Linked DNA regions of Caenorhabditis elegans. The protein of the gene in region 1 purifies or fractionates together with the protein of each later gene. This does not show direct contact. Each region holds a gene or a part of one and is shown on either strand. Other genes may lie near its edges. The genes, in order: daf-25 and Y116A8C.27.

Region 1 (9,194 bases):
AATCTTCAACAATTCCCCATCCGATCCATCTCTAAAGCTTCACGTTCTTCGTGCTCTGCTCTCCCTCATCCAACATCTCCGTGTAATCTACTCCAACCAAAATGAGACCTATTCTATCGTTTTCAAGCCATTCCTCCGGATTTTGGAATCAATTCAAGCCAAAAATCTTCCAGCCGAGGTCCAGGAAGAGCTGGAGACTCTGTGCGCCTCAATGAAGGCTGAAATTGGAGCCAAGTGCCGTCTGGTGCACCTGTCGCTGGTGAAAACCGAAAAGAGCATGCTGAAAATGCTGGAACCCCGTTTCGAGTGGGATTTCGATCCGGAACGCCCACATCACGGACCCAAAGACGAGAAGAAGAAGCTGACGAAGAATCTGAGGAACGAAAGACGCGGAGCCATCAAGGAGCTCAGAAAGGATACGGCATTCTTGGCCAGGAAGCAATTGTCGAGTGTCAAGACGAAGGATCGTGCGAGAATTGCGGCCACGAAACGTGTCATGGGCGGTCTTATGCAGCAGCAGGGTGAATGGAATAAGGAGAAGCGTACGGCGGATGTTGAGAAGAAGAAGGACAAGAAATAATTTAAATTTTCCTATTTTTTGTTTGTTGAAAATGACTTTATTTGGCAAAAAAAACCCCTAAATTTCAGTTTTTCTCGATTTGTTGAAAAATAGTCAAAAAACTGATTTCTATGTTATTTTTGGTCAAAATTTGCCTTTTTCAAACATTTTTTTTGCCATTTTTCCTCCATTTTTTGTTATTTTTTTTTTTCGTTTTGTTATGAGATATGTTTCTGTTTTGTTGACATTTTTTATTATTGAAAATTAAACGAGTTTTCTGAATTTTTTTGTTCAATTTTTTTGAAATTTTCCGTTTCACATACGTTTGTCAATATCTCGATTAATTTTTGAAGTTTTCCAATTGACTCGCGCATTTTCTAAAAAGTTTTTAAACTTTACATTGAAAATACCCCTCTAACTCGAATATCTGATTTTATTGGAATTTTGAGTTTTTTTAGGTTAAAAAATTCTTGTGCTAAAATCATCCATTATAGTTCGTAAGTCAGCAAATTTTGGCTCAAACTTAGAGCGATTTCCAATTTATGGAGTTTTTTGTTCAGAATTCTCGAAATTTTCTCATTTCTGGAAATTTTGAGTCTACGAGTCACACAGTTGTTCCGTAATTAGCTTCACTTACATCTCCTCAACTCTGCAAACTCTCAAACTTTCGGGAAAGGGTCTCGCCACGAAATCACGGGTGGGCGGCAATTGCAGTTCGGCAAATTGCCGGTTTGCCGGAAATTTTCAATCCCGGCAAAATTCCGTTTGCCGGAAGTTTTTAAACGGGATCTTTTATAAGACGGAAACACTTAAAACTGCCATTTTTAATTTTTTGCCCGTTTTCTCTAAATATTTTCATAGAATTTACTGACTTTTTAGGATAGATGTTTTCATGGGATGTGCACATGTTGTTCCGGCAAATCGGTAATTGCCGAAAATTTGAAAAACGACAATTTGCCAAAAAAATCGTTTGCCGTTCACCCCTGTATTGTACCATTTTTGGCGAAAATGCGCGTAAATTAATATGCTTGCGTGTGTAATATTTCGTTCATATATTCTAAATATACGCACCTTTTGAAATATTCATAATATATGCATTTACGTACGTTCGAGAATATTTTGGGAATACACATTTATCATCATTCCCACCCGTTGCCATAGTATCCTCATCCCCGCCCCGCCCCGCCCCTTTCTCTCATTTCCTCTTCCAAATCCTTAATGGCTCATCCGGTCATTGGAGAGATATGGCAGATGTGGCGGTTTTGACGAATGTTCTGGAGAACTCGAATTTTATATAACTATTAGACAATTTCGATATTAAAAACATTTATATGTAAAATTTTCAATTTTTTGAATTTGCTCGCCGAATTTTGACTTTCTGACAATTGTGTGTCGATTTACGAGGGTTATGTATATTTACGATATGTTTTTAATCATTATCGAATGCTGATTTCCGTTTTTCTACGAGTTGTCTTCATTTTCGTTGGTTTTTTTTTGTTTTTTTTTTTTGAAAGTGTATTTTTTAAGGTCAAAAAACTAGAAAAATATTCAGTTTTCAGTCAGGAAAACCATTTATTTGGTTTTTTCAATATTAAAAAAATTATTGGGAAAAATGAATGAAACTCGTCGAAAAACGAAAATCATCATTCGATAAAGATTAAATATTTCGTAAATCGACACACATGTCTCCGCCGCGAAAAATCGAAATTTCATAGAGGCATAAAAATTCACAATATTTTAGTTTTTTTATTTTTTATTTTAATCCAAATCCCTATTCATGCTTAGATTTTTAGGTGTTTTTCTGTAAAAAATCAAAAAATTGTATATTACTCATAAATTTTTCCAATTTTCTCAAACCTTGGATCTCGCCACGACATTATTAAAAAATTCCCGTTTTCTGCAGAAATGACGACAACGGAAGAAGCTCCCAAATCGCCGCTTTTCGAGGCAATCGACAAAAATGACACTGAAGCAGCGCTGGCACTGCTGAAAACGAAGGAACAAGCCGCTCAACGGGATCCCAGTGGAATGAGTGTGCTGGCAGCTGCCGCGTATAGGTATGCACCTTTAAAGCGGCGACGGTTACTGTATCCTCGCAGATTGTTTAAAGGTACATACCGTAATCCGTTGAATTTCAGAGGAAATCTTACGTTGGTCGAGAAAGCGATTGAGCTGAAATGTGATGTGAATGATAAAACCGATGGAACTCTGTACACTCCACTCATGTTTGCCGCCTTATCAGGTAGGGCAAAAATTTTTTAAAAAAATTTTTTGCGTCAAATTTGATGCAAATTCTGGTTTTTTACCGTTGAAAAGTAAAAAAAAATTCCGAAAAAATCGATTTTTATGCTAACAACAAACTTTTAAGTGAAAAATCGTGGAAAATTAGACCCAAATCACGTATTTTTGATCTGAAATTCAATTTAGCGAAAAGTCATCGAAATTTTATGGTTTTCGCGGTGAGACCCAATATTCGCAATTTTTTTTTGCACCAAATACAACACATTTGACGCGCAAATTCAAATTTTTGAAACTTTTTTCCGTTTTTACAATATTTTTAGGCTGAACCCCAATATTTGAAAAAAAAAAAACCAATACACTATATTTTACGCGCAAATGTTAAATTTTTATTTAAAATCCTCGTAAAGTTCTATTTTCTTTTTTTGATCGTTTTCAAGCTCAAAAATTCAAATTTCAATTCGAAATATTACCGGAACACAAAATTCTGAAAATGCGTACTGGTCAACATATTTGACGCGCAAAATATCTCGTAGCGAAAACTACAGTAATTCATTAAATGACTACGGTAACGCTTGTGTCGATTTACGGGCTCGTTATTAAAAATCATTAATTTCAAAAAAATCGAGCCCGTAAATCACCACAAGCGCTACCGTAGTCATTTAATGAATTACTGTAGTTTTCGCTACGAGATATTTTGCGCGTCAAATATGCTCAATACACATTCTCAGAATTTTGCGTTAACGTATTACTACTTTCTTAGTTTTTCCAAAAAAAAAATTCGAATACACCATATTTGACGCGCAAACTTTTTTTTTCAAAGCAAAATTGTCAAACGTTTGCAGGAAAACAGGACGTATGCCGCCTGCTAATGGACTCCGGAGCCCGTATGTATTTGGTGAATGGAATCGGAAAAACCGCCTCTGAACTGGCGGCATTTGTGGGTCATCACGAGTGTGTGGCAATTATCAATAATCATATAACAATTGATGTGATCGAAGATCTTTTGCGGCCAAAAGTGAATGGAAAATATGAAGGAGCTGAGGAATATCCGGATGAGCTGGCTGTATTTATTCATTCATTGTGTGGATCACATGAGATTCATCCTGTTAAGATTATTTTTCGATTCAGTAAATATCCCGATTCGTTGAAGTATAAGAAAAAGGTACATAGCTGTGTAGTTTGGAAAAAAAACGAAAAATCTGAAAATTTGAGAAATTTCCTTAAGCTTTTTCAAGATGCGCATTTTTGTTCATTCTTATTTTCAAAAAAATCCAAAAAGTTTTTTAAAAAATTTAATAAAGCATTCTTTTTAATTTCAAAACAAAAAAGTTATACCAAATAAAAACTTTTAGTAATCAAAATTTTTCACTTTTTCTCGGTTTTTCTCATCGTTTTTCAAATTTGAGATCTCTTCCTGAATTTTGCCTAAAAATTGATTTTTTCAAAATATTTTCAGAAATGATTCTTTCTGTGAAAAAATGTTTGAAAATGCGAAAATATTCGAAACTAAAAAAACTTTTATTAAAATAAATTTTTGAAATTTTTCAGAATTTAAAAATTGAATCGAATTAGGTATCAGTAGTTTTCAGATCGATTTTTTCGAATTTCTGAATTTGTTAAAAACTAGAAATTAAAAAAAAAACTTTTGATGTTAAATGTTTTTCGAGATTAAAATAAACCGAAAACCCAAAAAAAATGTAAAAATTGTGTTCTTTTTGTTATAATAAACCAGAATTTTCTCGAAATTTTCAGAAGGTTCTAGAATATTTCAGAATTTTCTCGAAATTTCCAAAAGGTTCTAGAACATTTCAGAATTTTCTCGAAATTTTCAGAAGGTTCTAGAACATTCCAGAATTTTCTCGAAATTTTCAGAAGGTTCTAGAATAGTTCAGAATTTTCTCGAAATTTCCAAAAGGTTCTAGAACATTACATAATTTTCTCGAAATTTCCAGAAGGTTCTAGAACATTCCAGAATTTTCTCGAAATTTTCAGAAGGTTCTAGAATATTTCAGAATTTTCTCGAAATTTCCAAAAGGTTCTAGAACATTTCAGAATTTTCTCGAAATTTTCAGAAGGTTCTAGAATATTTCAGAATTTTCTCGAAATTTCCAAAAGGTTCTAGAACATTACAGAATTTTCTCGAAATTTCCAAAAGGTTCTAGAACATTACAGAATTTTCTCGAAATTTTCAGAAGGTTCTAGAATATTTCAGAATTTTCTCGAAATTTCCAAAAGGTTCTAGAACAATCCAGAATAATGTTTTCAAAAAATTCAAATTTGAATTCCCGCCAAAATGTTTTCAAAAAATTAAAATTCGAATTTCCCGCCAAAATATGTACAGTACTCCTACAGTACCTCTACAGTACTACTACAGTACCCCGACCATATCCCACTACTAACCCCAAACCTATATCTCTTCAAAAGACTAAAACACAATTTTTCCTAAACTACAGTAATCCTACCGTACTCCTACAGTACTACTACAGTACCCCCACCATATCCCACTACTAACCCCAAACCTATATCTCTTCAAAAGACTAAAACACAATTTTTCCTAAACTACAGTAATCCTACCGTACTCCTACAGTACTCCTACAGTACTACTACAGTACCCCGACCATATCCCACTACTAAGCCCAAACTAATATCCCTCCATCAGCCGAAAACGCCTTGCCTTTGTAAACTATGACGTCACTACTTAACAAACGGACACTATTTTTTTATATTTTTTTTTCAAAGCAAAAACCACCCATTTTCCAGATCCTCTACGTCATCGATCGTGTCTTCGAGAAACAGCTTCGATGTAAGGAAAGCAATGAAATAATGTCGCTCAAGCTTTGGCTAATTCTATTTTCAATGCGTGAAACCTCGAAATTCGTGGAGTCGAACAAGGAAAAGTCGCCAGAAGAAGCGTCTCTACAGTACGCAAAACTGATTTCCACGTGGCAAGAGGGCGATGAAACTAGGCGAGCACTTGACGTGATGCTGAGAAATGCGGTTGCTTCGTTCCCGTATAAACATTCATTACTTCATGATACTCTACAAAAAGCACTGCAAAAAAGTCAAATTGGTGAACGACCAAGTGCCTATGAATACATTGTTCAGGCACTTTTCGGACAACGAATCGCTGCGGTCTGCCAGTTTTGCTCGGTTTGCGGACATCCTGGAGCCAAGAAACGGTGCACACAGTGCAAAGTATGGAGTTTTTAGGGTTAAAAATAATTATTTAATAATTTAATAAAGCTCGAATTTGGGAAATAATCAATTCCAAATTTTAAAAATATGGAAAAAATTTTATTCCGTTACATTTTATGAATTTTCCCACAAACTCGGCATTTGGCTCTAGCTTCTTGCCCAAGTTTAGCCCAAAAAATATTAACTTGAAGCTGTCTAAACTTGGGCAAAAGTTAGACAAAACTTTGGCAAAACTTGGATTCAAGCTTTACCAAGGTCTAACCCAAGTTTCACCCAACTCTTGCCAAACTTTGGCCCAAACTTTTCTTATTTCGTTTCAAATTTGGGCCAAAGTTTGGCAAGAGTTGGGTGAAACTTGGGTTAGACTTTGGTAAAGCTTGAATCCAAGTTTTGCCAAAGTCTTGCCTAACTTTTGCCCAAGTTTAGACAGCTTCTGATCCAAGTTAACATTTTTTGGGCTAAACTTGGGCAAGAAGCAAGAGCCAAATGCCGAGAAACTCGAATAAAAATTGAAAGTTTTCAAAATTTCAGTTCGTTTTTAATTTACAAAATTTGGCAGCTCTAACAATTCTTTAAAGATTCTTTAAATTAAAAAAAAGAATTATTAAAACTTTTTAAAAAAATTCATTCTGTAGAAAATTCCCGTAAAATACTCTTTGAAAATCCGGGAAAAAACTTCAAAAAACAAAAATAAATTCTAGACATTCTGTAAATATCGAAAAAAGAACATTTTGTCTGTAAATGTATTAGTCAAAATTAATTTCTGATACTTTTTCCAATTTTTCAAAATTTTAAGTGTCGAGGTTCAATTTTTTTGAATTTCCTGTTTTTCCTTTATTAAAAAAAGTTTTCTATAATATGCTGTATTTGAAAATTAAAAACTATATCTGAAAATATCGAGGCACAACGTTTTCAAGATCTGGTGAAATTCCGGATCTACGTTTTCCGGATCTACCATTTCCGGATCTACGTTTTCCGGATCTGGCACCGTGCCAACGCACAAAACGCTTTTTTGTTCACTCGACGCACGTTGTTTTTTGAAAATTTCTTCTAGAAGAAACGCTTAACAACACGCGACGCGTAACAACGGAGCATCGTTATCACGTTTTTCTCCGAGAAAAATAGCGTTTTAAGAGTTGGCACGGTGCCAGATCCGGAAATGGTAGATCCGGAAAACGGAGATCCGGAATTCCGCCAGATCTTGAAAATGTGGTGCCTCAAAATATCGATTAAAGAATTTTTTCTGAAAAATATCCAATTTTTCAACAACAGAATAGCTAAAAAGTGAAAAAAAACTCAATTCTCATTATAAATTGCAAACAATTTCCAAATTTTGATAAAATGGAAAAGAGTTTAAAAATTTCAGGCAACACATTTTTTAACTCTAGTAAACGTTTTTTAAATTCCAACAATTTTTACAGCTCGCCTACTGTTCCCAAGAATGCCAAAAATTCGACTGGCCAATTCACAAAAAAGTGTGCTCATTTCTGAAAACGCGACAAGAAGTGTCGCCCACCGACGAGACCGCCATGTCGCTGGACGATATTCAGGCTCAAATCGCCAAAATCGACGTGTAGAAGTGCCGATATTTCGATCTCAATATACTTTTTTTCTGGAATTTATTTATTTTTAATGTATATTTCGGCTTCATCTCATTGCACGAACTTTTAATTTCATTTTCATAAATTCATTTTTGAAGTCATTCCTTGAACAAAAATTCACTAAAACATGCATTAAGAAATATGGAATCCAAAAATTAATCTAAAAACCTTTTCAAAAAACCACTTCGTCAAAAACTGATGATGGAAACTCGTTGAAAAACGGAAAGAGTATCCAATAAAGATTAAAAATTTCGACATTTCGTAAATCGACACAAATCTCGTAAATCGACAAAAATGAAAAAATCAGGAACCCAAGAAATTCAATATTCTCATTTGTAAAGACAACTGGTAAAACATTTTCAAATCAAAAAATTATTTTTTTTGCCCTCAAAATTGATCTCCGAATACTATAAAAAAGAAAACTATAAAAAGTGGCGAAAATTCGAAATTTTTTAACCCCTCTAAAATGGTTCATTTTAGTTGTCTAATGATACAACAAAGTAGACATAGTTCTACAATATCTGATAAATACTTGAAAAGTCTAAAAACAAAAGTTTTTTCGTTTTTTTAACGGATTTTTAAAATCCAGAAGAACGAAAAAAAATTTTTTTAAGAGAATAGAGTAAACTAATCATGTTCGAGCAAAAAAATCCGACTTAGAATATGAACGGACCCAAGTGTATCATAATTATTTTAATTTCTGTGTATCAGAATTATTTTAGTTTCCTTAGTGTGATTCCCAAACTGCTTAAATTCTAGGAAATATTTCTTTACTGGAACACTCTTAGCCACTGTACGCTGCCGAACGAATAATAAGAGAATACAGAACACCAATTATGCCCGAGAAAAAGATCCTACTCAGAATATAAACATAGTCAAATTTATCGGATGTATAAAGATTCCCGAAGACACTTTCCAATTACCCAAATTGTTCATATTCTAAATCAAATTCTCTTACTAGAACGCTCTTGGCCAATGTACGCAGCCGAACGTATCATAAGTGAATACAGAACACCAATTATGCCCGAGAAAAAGATCCTACTCAGAATATAAACATAGTCAAATTTATCGGATGTATAAAGATTCCCGAAGACACTTTCCAATTACCCAAATTGTTCATATTCTAAATGAAATTCTTTTACTAGAACACTCTTGGCCAATGTACGCAGCCGAACGTATCATAAGTGAATACAGAACACCAATTATGCCCGAGAAAAAGATCCTACTCAGAATATAAACATAGTTAAATTTATTGGATGTATAAAGATTCCCGAAGACACTTTCCAATTACCCAAATTGTTCATATTCTAAATGAAATTCTCTTACTAGAACACTCTTGGCCAATGTACGCAGCCGAACGTATCATAAGTGAATACAGAACACCAATTATGCCCGAGAAAAAGATCCTACTCAGAATATAAACATAGTCGAATTTATCGGATGTATAAAGATTCCCGAAGACACTTTCCAATTACCCAAATTGTTCATATTCTAAATGAAATTCTCTTACTAGAACACTCTTGGCCAATGTACGCAGCCGAACGTATCATAAGTGAATACAGAACACCAATTATGCCCGAGAAAAAGATCCTACTCAG
Region 2 (9,710 bases), on another chromosome or scaffold:
TTCTAGCAGTTATCCTTTCCCCCGTGGTGCCTCCACCACCTAAACTAACTTCCAGGTCCCTCTGGCTATGAGGTCTCTGTAACAACTGAACCAGCGGCACTCGAGTTGGCAGTAAAACGTGGAAAAATCAATCATGTAATTGTGTGTGGACATTCGGATTGTAAAGCAATCAATACTTTATATAATCTTCATAAATGTCCAAAATCATTTGATCCAGAATCACCAATGGATCATTGGCTCCGGCGGCATGGATTTAATTCGATTAGGAAATTGGAAAAACGACTGGCCGACAAGAATGCGGGCCCGATTGAGTTTGTCAGTGATAATCCGTTGTTCTCGTGAGTCTCCTTTGAATTTTGCAAGTGCGGCACGGAAAAAGGGGCGCGGAGCTCAATGCGGCACAGTTTTTTTTTCTGCTTTTTTGTATTTTTCTCAATAAATTTTTTTTTTAGATAAAAAACTATAAAAATCGTCAAAAAACCGTGCGGCATTATTACACTCCGCTCTTTTTTCTGTGCGGCACATGAAAAATTCAAAATTTTCGAAAAAACAGAGATCACGCCCATTTTTCCGTGCCACACTTCCAAAATGCGTAATTTCGGAGCTTCGTTGTCTGTCGTTTGAAGAACAAATTGTTTTTTCGCACCAAAAATTGCGAAAATTTTGAATTTTGCAAGTGCGGCACAAAAAAAGGGGCGGGGCTCAATACGGCACAGTTTTTTTTCTGCTTTTTTGTATTTTTCTCATTAAATTTTTTTTAGATAAAAAAACTATAAATATCAACAAAAAACCGTGCGCGGCATTATTACACTCCGCCCCTTTTTCTGTGCGGCACTTGCAAAATTCACGGATTGATGGACAATATAATCTCTAAATTTCAGATTCTCGGCAGTAATTGACCCGGAAGACAAGCTGAATGTCGAGGATAAGCTCTCACAAATTAATACACTTCAACAATTGGAAAATGTGGCCAGTCATGGATTTTTGAAGGTTAATACCCGAAAAATGTTGCGTCAAATGCTGGAAAATTGAAGAAAAATGCGGAAAAATAGAGAAAAAAATTATTAATTTTGTCGAAAACACAACAAAAAACAGTTTTTTTTTGTTATTTCCAAAAAAACTTGGTTTTTTTTTTCAAAAATTTTTTTAGAAGAAATTATGTTTATTCTCATCAATTTAAAAAAAAACTAGATTTTAAAAATCATATTTCTTTTCTGAACATTTTTTAAAAATATTTTTTTAAATATCGAAAGATTTCGTTTTTTAATTAATTTTTTTTTTTGATTTTTCGAATTTCCCAGAAAAAAAAAACCGAAAAACGACACCCTTCGGCTGGGAAAATCGTGTTCCTAGAATAGATTTTGAAAATTCTTTAAAAAATTTAATTTCCGTAACAGGAAATTATGATAAAAAACGGTTAGATTTCATTAGATTTCAAAATTTCAGAGAAAACCTTTTTTTTTAATTTCTGAAATAGGAAATTATGCCCCTCAAATAGATTTTTTTTATTCAAAATTCAAAACATATTCAAAACACATTTTTTCAGGAATTCCTCGTGTCTCAAACTGTCGATCTTCATGCGATGTGGTTCGATATTTACACTGGTATACATACATTTTTCTATTTTCACTGTAACTTTTTATTCACGGGGGACGAGGGAAAGTGGTTTCTAGGCCATGGCCGAGGGGCCGACAAGTTTCAGCGGCCATTATCTTGCTTTGTTTTCCGCCTGTTTTCTTTCGTTTTTCATCGATTTTTTTCGTTTTTTCTTAATAAAACTGATAAATAAATATTTTTTGCAGATGCTAAAACAATTTCCAAGTAAAAAATTATGTATTCAGTGGGCAAGCAGCGGTGAAAGTGGGCATTGTAATATGATGGATTACGGGAATCCAAAACCTAAACTTTTTCTGAAACATGATACATATGCTGCTTAAATGCTGAGACTACCTGATTTTCATAACGAGACCGCTGAGGGGTAGTTTAGGTTTTGGATTCCCGTAATCCATCATATTACAATGCCCACTTTCACCGCTGCTTGCCCACTGAATACATAATTTTTTACTTGGAAATTGTTTTAGCATCTGCAAAAAATATTTATTTATTAGTTTTGATAAGAAAAAACGGGAAAAAGCTGTGAAAAACAAAAGAAAACAGGCGGAAAACAATACAAGATAAATGGCCGCTGAAACTTGTTGGCCCTTCGGCCATGGCCTAGAAACCACTTTTCCTCGTCCCTCGTGAGGAAAAAGTTGCAGTGTATTTTCTTTAATTTTCACAAAAAAATTTGATTTTCTTTTTAGGAGAAATGCACATGTTCAGCAAACCCAACAAACAATTCGTTCTGGTCGATGAATCGAATGTCGAAGAATTGATTGATGAGGTCGAAAAGCATCAGACTTAATTATTATTATATTGCATTTATTTTAATTTTTAGATTTTTGTGTAAATATTCCCCCATTTTGCCATACTATTTCTTGAGATTGCATTTAATTTCCAATTTGCCCCGCATTTGCCATAGTCATAAAGTCATTTACTTTTTTTTTTTTGAAAAATATAATTTTTTAAAATTATTTTTTTCAACTAACTGTCCATTGTCCAGTGTCCTATCGTTGTAATTTTGAATTTTAAATTTTTTTTTTTAGAAAAATTCAATTTCAGTGCTCAAATGGCGTCCAATCTTGGCCGTGTTGCTCGGCGATTTGCTGCTGCTCAAGCCTCTGCACTGACAAAACCGAAAAAGTTCTATAAGGTAATTTTTCAGGAAATTCCAAAGAGTGTTTTGTAAAAAAAAATGCTTTAAAAATCGGAAAATTATCGTTTTTTTTTTCAAAAACATATTTTTCAGAAATCTTTTTTTTTAACGAAATTGCATTTTTTTTTAACATCAAAAAGTGCCATTTTTGAACGTTTTTCTATGTAACATCGAAAATTATTTAAAAAGTATTCATTTTTTCTTTATTTTTCCTCAAAAATTCAAAAAATATCGAATTTATTTTTTCGATTTTCAATAATAAAAAAATCAGAAATTTCTCTTTTTTAATAAAATATAATTTTTATCACATCAGAACTCTGGGTAAACACAGAAAAACAATTTAAAAAAAAAGAAAAAATGTTTTCCTCTGCAACAAAAAAAATCAAAAATATTCGATTTTGAAATTTTTTCTCTAAAAACCAAAAAATTGAAAATTTTCCATTTTCCATTTTAAAAAATATGAAAATCGAGAAAAATCGTCTTTTTTGGTTTTACTATGAAAATCCAAAAAAATCGGTAATTTTTTTTGCGATTTTTTTTGGAAAACATTGAAAAATGGAAGAAAAAAAATTAAAAAGTAACGATTTTCTATGAAAAACGCCAAAAAATTGAAAAATAAATAGCGATTTTCTAAAAAAAAAAAAAAAAGAAAATCTGAATTTTTTAATGAAAAAATTCAACTTTTACGGGGATAACCGCAAATTTTCACAACTTCCTCCCCAAAAACCCAAACATTTTTTGCAGGAAGTATCAGTAATTAACGAGACGGACGAGAGCACCGGAAATCAAATTCATAAAGTTCTTCTGGATCATCGTGTTCTCAAAACTCAAGGAGGACAAGTGCTAAAAGTACGGGAATGTCTAGTAGCAGCAGCTTTTATTTTAAAAAAAATATATACAAAAAGTGGAAAAAGTTAAACAAATACAGGTTTCTCAGAAATTGGTTCCTTCTCCATAAAATCTGATGAATTTGTGACCAAATTCATTGCACATTGACGGGGATTTGTCTGAAAAAATCTTATTTTTATAAGATTTTTTAGTTAAAAAAAATCCAAATTATATGCCTATATGCAAAAAATCACAAAAAAAACGACGAAAAATTCTGATTTTTCAAATTTTGGTTAACTGCGACCAATCAGCGTCAAAAGTGGACGGAGCGAGCTGCTGATTGGTCGTCGTAGTACCAAAGTTTGAAAAAGCTTGTTTTTGTGGTTTTCCTGAGTTTTCAACTAATTTGCCAAAAATCAAAAATTACCGCAGAACTCGATTTCCGGGATGCGAGTGACATTTGGCTTGATCTTCTCGATGAGAACCTTGAAATAATCTTTGAGTCTGCTTTCCGACACACGAAGATCAGAATTATGAGAAACTGAAAATTTGAGATATGCAATGGCGCTCCGCGGACAACAACGCCCCGCCCCTAAACTTTGGGTCTCGTTAGGATATCAAATTAAATTATTTTTGTGAATTTCTTCAGTTTTCAAGCATTTTTCGATTTTTCGCCCGTTTTTTTTTTGGTAAAAATCGTTCTTAAACATATAATTATAGATTTATTACAAATGTTGTAAAAAATTAGATTTTTTAAACTCTATTTGACTCAATTTTCGTCCGAATTGAAAAAAAATTAGATTTTTCACATTATTTTTCATTTTTCACGAAAAAATCTTCGTTGAAAAGACGACAAAAGCTTGATTCTACCGGTTTTCAAGTGTTTTTCGTTTTTTTTTTAAATATTTTTATGTCGAAATTGCATTGTTTGCATCATTTTGAGATAAAAATAATAAGAAACACTAAAAATGTATCAAAACATTTGAAATTCTAATTAATACCTAACGAGACGTAACGTTTGAGAGCGGATGAAAATTTTCAAAAATACGGTGCCGGGTCTCGACACGATTTTTTTTGAAGAGTACTGTTATTTCAACAATTTTTTGTAAGAAATATATTATTTAGTTAACTTGAAAAAAAACTACAATAATTTTTAAAGGCGCACAAAAAATTGTGCGTGTCGAGACCCTTTTTTAAGTAAAAAGTAACTTACAATAGCGAAAATAAAAACCGGGAGAAGGTGCAATGCAATGTTGTGGAGAGTCATTTCTTCGAATTGTCAAGAAAATTAAGAAAACATTCCTCTGAAGCTTCTAAAAAGAATAAAATAATTTTAAAACAAAAAAAAACGGCCGCGAAAAAAATTATGCAAATACCAGAAAAGTTTGCTTTTACACTTTCACACTGACCGCAGGCAAAAAATTGAAAAATTTCAGGGGAGACGCAGAGAATGAAAGTAATATTTACATAGGTACAATGACACATGATGATGATGGCAAATTGTATTGAGTTTCAAAGAAAAAAGTCAAAAACGGAACAAAAATGAAATTGTTTGGTTTTCCAAAAAATGTTTACTTTTACTTCAAAAATCAGTTAAGAAAAATCCAAAAAAAAATCGAAATTTCCGAAAAATTACACTAAAGGTGGAGTAGCGCCAGTGTGGGGAAATTGCTTTAAAACATGCCTATGACGTCACAATGACCGAATATCATGATAAAAAAATTCAAAAAAATTTTCTAAATTTTATATGATTTTTTGAAAATTGAAAAAATCTCAGTTTTTGCCTAATTCCTATTTGAATTTCCGCCAATTGGATTTGTTCGATGGAGCGCGCTTGCACGTTTTTAAATTTATTTATTTTATTTATTGTTATTTTCCACCGATTTTTAATGTTTTCAGTGTATTTTTGCTTGAATTTAAGAGAAAAAGTCAAGATAAATGCAAATTTCCGATTAAAAAGCACGCTTACAGGCGTAAAAATGAAAAAGTAACGATTTTAAACGATTTCGAGCCTGAATTAATTAATTTCACTGATTTACGCCAGTAAGCGTGCTTTTTAATCGAAAATTTGCATTTATTTTGACTTTTTCTTTAAAATTCGAGCAAAAAAACACCGAAATTATAAAAATCGGTGGAAAATAACAATAAATAAAATAAATAAATTTAAAAACGTGCAAGCGCGCTCCATCGAACAAATCCAATTGGCGGTAATTCAAATAGAAATTAGGCAAAAACTGAGATTTTTTCAATTTTCAAAAAATCATATAAAATTTAGAAAATTTTTTTGAATTTTTTTTATCATGATATTCGGTCATTGTGACGTCATAGGCATGTTTTAAAGCAATTTCCCCACTAGCGCTACTCCACCTTTAAAAAACGAAAAATCGAGATTTTTCAATTTTGACTAACTTCGACCAATCAGCGAATCGCTCGGCCCACTTTTGTGAACCAATCAGCGTCAAAAGTGGGCAGAGCGATTCGCTGATTGGTCGTTATCATTTTGAAAGGAATTAAGCCATTTTTCGTGACTTTCAGTTTTTTTTTTTTGGATTTCCAGAATATTTCGGGATTTTTAACACAAAATGCGCATTTTTCTAAATAATGACGTCATCATAGCTTCAAGTCTCTAATTTTCAGCTCGACTCATATCCACTTGCACTGGCAATTGCTGAAGAATGGTCATCACAAGACGAATTTCTGCAGTTGGGACAAATGAGATTGACTGGTCTTGCATTCACTGCTCAGGATAATCCATTGGAACAGACTGCGTTCGTAATGCGAGAAAAAATTTCCATTTTTCGAAAAAAATTAATTTTTAAATTTTGAAAATTTTTTTAGAAGTTTTTCAACAAAAAAAAATTACTTTTCTCTATTTTCTTTTAAAAAAATTGTTTTCATTTCTGAAAAGTTAATTTTTTTGAAATTTTTCAAAAAAAAAACATTATTCTTTTTAGATTTCATTTAAAAAAAAAAGATTTCTGATTGTGAGAACAAAATGTTGATTTTTTCCAAAAAAAAAAAAAATTTTTCTCGATTTTCTAAAAATTATCTTTAAAAAAATTCTAAAATTCTAAGATTCTTAATAAATCTATATAAATTTTATATATATAAATTTTAAAGAAAAATCTAACATTTTATATTAAAAAAATATGGAAAAATTATTTTTTTAAAGATTTGCTGAAAATCTCGATTTTTGGTTATTTTTCTACAAAAACCCACGTTTTTCCAATTTTTTAAAAAGATAAATTTCTATTTTTTTGAATTTTTGAAAAAATTTTTTAGAAGTTTTTCAAAAAAGAAAACATATTTTTCTCCATTTATTTCTGAAAAAGTATTTTTTTTATTTCAAAAACAAAATATGATGTCTGAAATGAAAATGTTTTTTTTTTTCCATAATAAATTTTTTTTTCGATTTTCTGAAAAAAAATTGTTATTATTGGAAAAAATTCTGAAAAAATTGTTTACAGGACTTTTTCAAAAAACTCGTTTTTTTCCATTTTCTAAAAAATTATTAATTTTTAAACAATTTTTTTTTGTTTTTTGAAAAATCAACTTTTTTGTAGTTAAATTTTTTTTTAAACCAAAAAATCGTCCATTTTCAGCGACACAATTTCTCAAAAAATCCTCGATTACGTGGAAGGTGACACTGTATTGTTCTTCAATACGGAAAGCTCGAAACTTCATCGCTACCAGGAGGAGAAATGGGCTCCGCTTATCAAGAATTTGAATAACGATTTGGGAATTAAAGTTCGCCCCAGCGAGAATATTTTAGGTATTTGTGGTTTTGGAAAATGGGATTTTTTAAATTTTCGAATAAAAAAAATTTAATAAAAATTCCAAAAAATTATAGACTGTGACGTGGCCAGCGAGAACGATAAGGAAAAAATCGACAGATGGATTCGTCAGCACAATTTCCCGGCTCTTGTTGGGCTTCAGTATGCAACTGAATCGGTAAGATGCCTACCTATCTACCTACCTTACCTGCCTTACCTACCTTGATTACCTTACCTATCATTTTAAGAAATGAGATTTCTGAATTAGAAGCTCTAAAAATTTCACATCTTCACACAAAAAAGCAACAAAAAATCCAAAACATTTTACCAAAAAAATTTTTTGCAATTAATTTTTCAAAATCTTCTAAAAAAATCAACTTTCTTTAATCCAAAATCATTTTATTGAAGAAATTTTTATTTAGTTTTTTTAATCGAAAAAAAATTCAATTTGTTTTTACAAAATTGGAAGCAATTTACAAGAATATTAAAATTTTCTAAATTTTAAAAATAAAATAGTTTTTTAAAAAATTTCAGAAATTTTTTTAACACAAAAATTCAATTTTTATGAATTTTACAAAAAAAAATTATTAAAAAATCCAAAAAAAATTTCTAGGTCAAATCATTCGTGATCGCCTACAACGCAATTCGTCATCACATCGACCCAGACACAGCAATCGATGCAGCAACACTGGAACAGAGAACTCAAGCAGAAACATGGGGAAATGTTGAATGGGCTCACGGAATTGAAAGAGAAGAACTCATGACAAGACTGTCGGCTGCTTGTCTTTTTGTCTATTTTAATTCAAATAATTTCACTTCAAAAACTGTTTAATTTCTTTTTTAAAATCTCTAGTTTTTAGCTTGTTTTAGTAATTGTTTGTTTTGTTTTTTTTAAATTCATTTCTTCATTTTAATTAAAATATTATTTTATAAATAACGCATCATACATTGGTATTCATTGTTCGCGAAGAAGTAGAACCTGAAAAAATGTCGTGTTATTATGGAGACGTAGAAAAATGCAAATTTGGAAATCGCGCTCCACCGAACATTGGACCTTTTAGACGGGAAAGCTAGAAAATCAAATGTTTTTCGAGCACTTTTCGTCAAAATTACTTTTTTAACAGATTTTTGGCATAAAAATTTACGGAAAATACGAAAAATTCTCGAAAACGGGGAAAATCAAGCATTTTTCGACTTTTTTGTGATTTTTTGAGTGATTTTTATGCATTTTATGACGAAATTGAATTTTTTTGACAAAAAAAATTATAAAACACCACCAGAGAAATAACGAAAATAAGCCGAAAAATAACTGAAAACGTTTGAATTTATCGTTTTGCCGCCAGTTCCTAACGGTACCCAACTTTTTCGCGTTGGAGCGCGATTGCGCCTCGATTTCAAAAGGCGCGTACAAATTAAGAAGTGCCGTTGAAATATTACCGGAAATTATTGAAAATTCGGTTTTCTCATCATAAAAACTGATTTTTTTTACTTTTGAAAGAAAATTGAATTTTTTTTTGAAAATTCAAACTTACTCTATATAACTTGCTTCTTTGGTGATTTTCAACAAAATATAATAATCATCTCTTAAAATATTCTCTGCAAATTGCCAAATCACATCTTCCCCGACAAACGTCGGTACACGAATCGTAATTTGGCATACAATAAGGGAATATATTTTTCTAATTTTCAGAAGGTTATCCAAATAATTTTCAATTTCTTTCATTTCAAAGATGAAAATATGCTCTATTACCTGGAAAACATGCCCTTTTCGAAATTAAGGTTGGTGCAATCGCGCTCCACGGAATCTCGTTGGGTATTGGCGGCAAAAATTAGACATTCAAACGTTTTCACATGTTTTTTTTAAACATTTTTACGTTTTTTCAGTTGTTCTTGACGATTTTCAGAAAAAATTACATTTTTAGCAGAAAAATAATTTAAAAAAACGGTCAGAGCAACAAAAAAAAGACTAAAAAAGGTCGCAAAATATTTGAATCCCCAGTTTCCCCGCCAAAACGAGACCTTTTCGCGTTGGGGGCGATTGCACCTCGATTTCAAAAATATTTTTAAATTAAATTTGTATTTTCAGCTTACATTTTCTTCTTTAAATTGAAGCAGAGCATTGTTTAGTTGTGATTTTGAAAGATCATCTACTTTTTTATAATTTTCAAGCTGAAAATTTCAGAATTTAAAAGTTCATTTCTTCGACTATAAACTACAAACTCCACGGAGGTTCTCCCTCGAATCGATAATCAAATATTTGCAATTGAGCATCTTAAAATCGGTATTATTCAATATTTGGAGGGAATTTCCCCCGAAAAACACGAAATTATTGCATTTTTGAAACGGAAAAAATG

Evidence for each region.
Region 2: the proteins of daf-25 (region 1) and Y116A8C.27 fractionate together in Caenorhabditis elegans (co-fractionation; one large-scale study listed by BioGRID). This does not show direct contact.

The regions. Positions count from the first base shown.
Region 1 is NC_003279.8:330,149-339,342, forward strand, and holds daf-25 (Dauer abnormal formation protein 25), read left to right. Parts: upstream 1-2,455; 5' UTR 2,456-2,464; coding exon 2,465-2,616; intron 2,617-2,697; coding exon 2,698-2,801; intron 2,802-3,642; coding exon 3,643-3,962; intron 3,963-5,560; coding exon 5,561-5,995; intron 5,996-7,416; coding exon 7,417-7,572; 3' UTR 7,573-7,697; downstream 7,698-9,194. Other genes in the region: nol-14 (Nucleolar protein 14), read left to right, coding at 1-580. UniProt on the Caenorhabditis elegans protein: May be involved in the trafficking and dendritic transport of signaling proteins, such as the receptor-type guanylate cyclases gcy-12 and daf-11, to the cilia.
Region 2 is NC_003282.8:17,089,220-17,098,929, reverse strand, and holds Y116A8C.27 (ATP synthase mitochondrial F1 complex assembly factor 2), read left to right. Parts: upstream 1-2,661; 5' UTR 2,662-2,668; coding exon 2,669-2,752; intron 2,753-3,499; coding exon 3,500-3,604; intron 3,605-3,618; exon of another isoform or gene 3,619-3,669; coding exon of another isoform or gene 3,670-3,762; intron 3,763-4,010; coding exon of another isoform or gene 4,011-4,124; intron 4,125-4,796; coding exon of another isoform or gene 4,797-4,850; exon of another isoform or gene 4,851-4,901; intron 4,902-6,002; exon of another isoform or gene 6,003-6,069; intron 6,070-6,220; coding exon 6,221-6,351; intron 6,352-7,185; coding exon 7,186-7,355; intron 7,356-7,433; coding exon 7,434-7,534; intron 7,535-7,969; coding exon 7,970-8,188; 3' UTR 8,189-8,283; downstream 8,284-9,710. Other genes in the region: bca-2 (Carbonic anhydrase), read left to right, coding at 56-338, 882-990, 1,547-1,604, 2,304-2,404; Y116A8C.29 (uncharacterized protein), read right to left, coding at 3,670-3,762, 4,011-4,124, 4,797-4,850; Y116A8C.43 (Lipoprotein), read right to left, coding at 8,284-8,335, 8,889-9,106, 9,448-9,525, 9,577-9,710.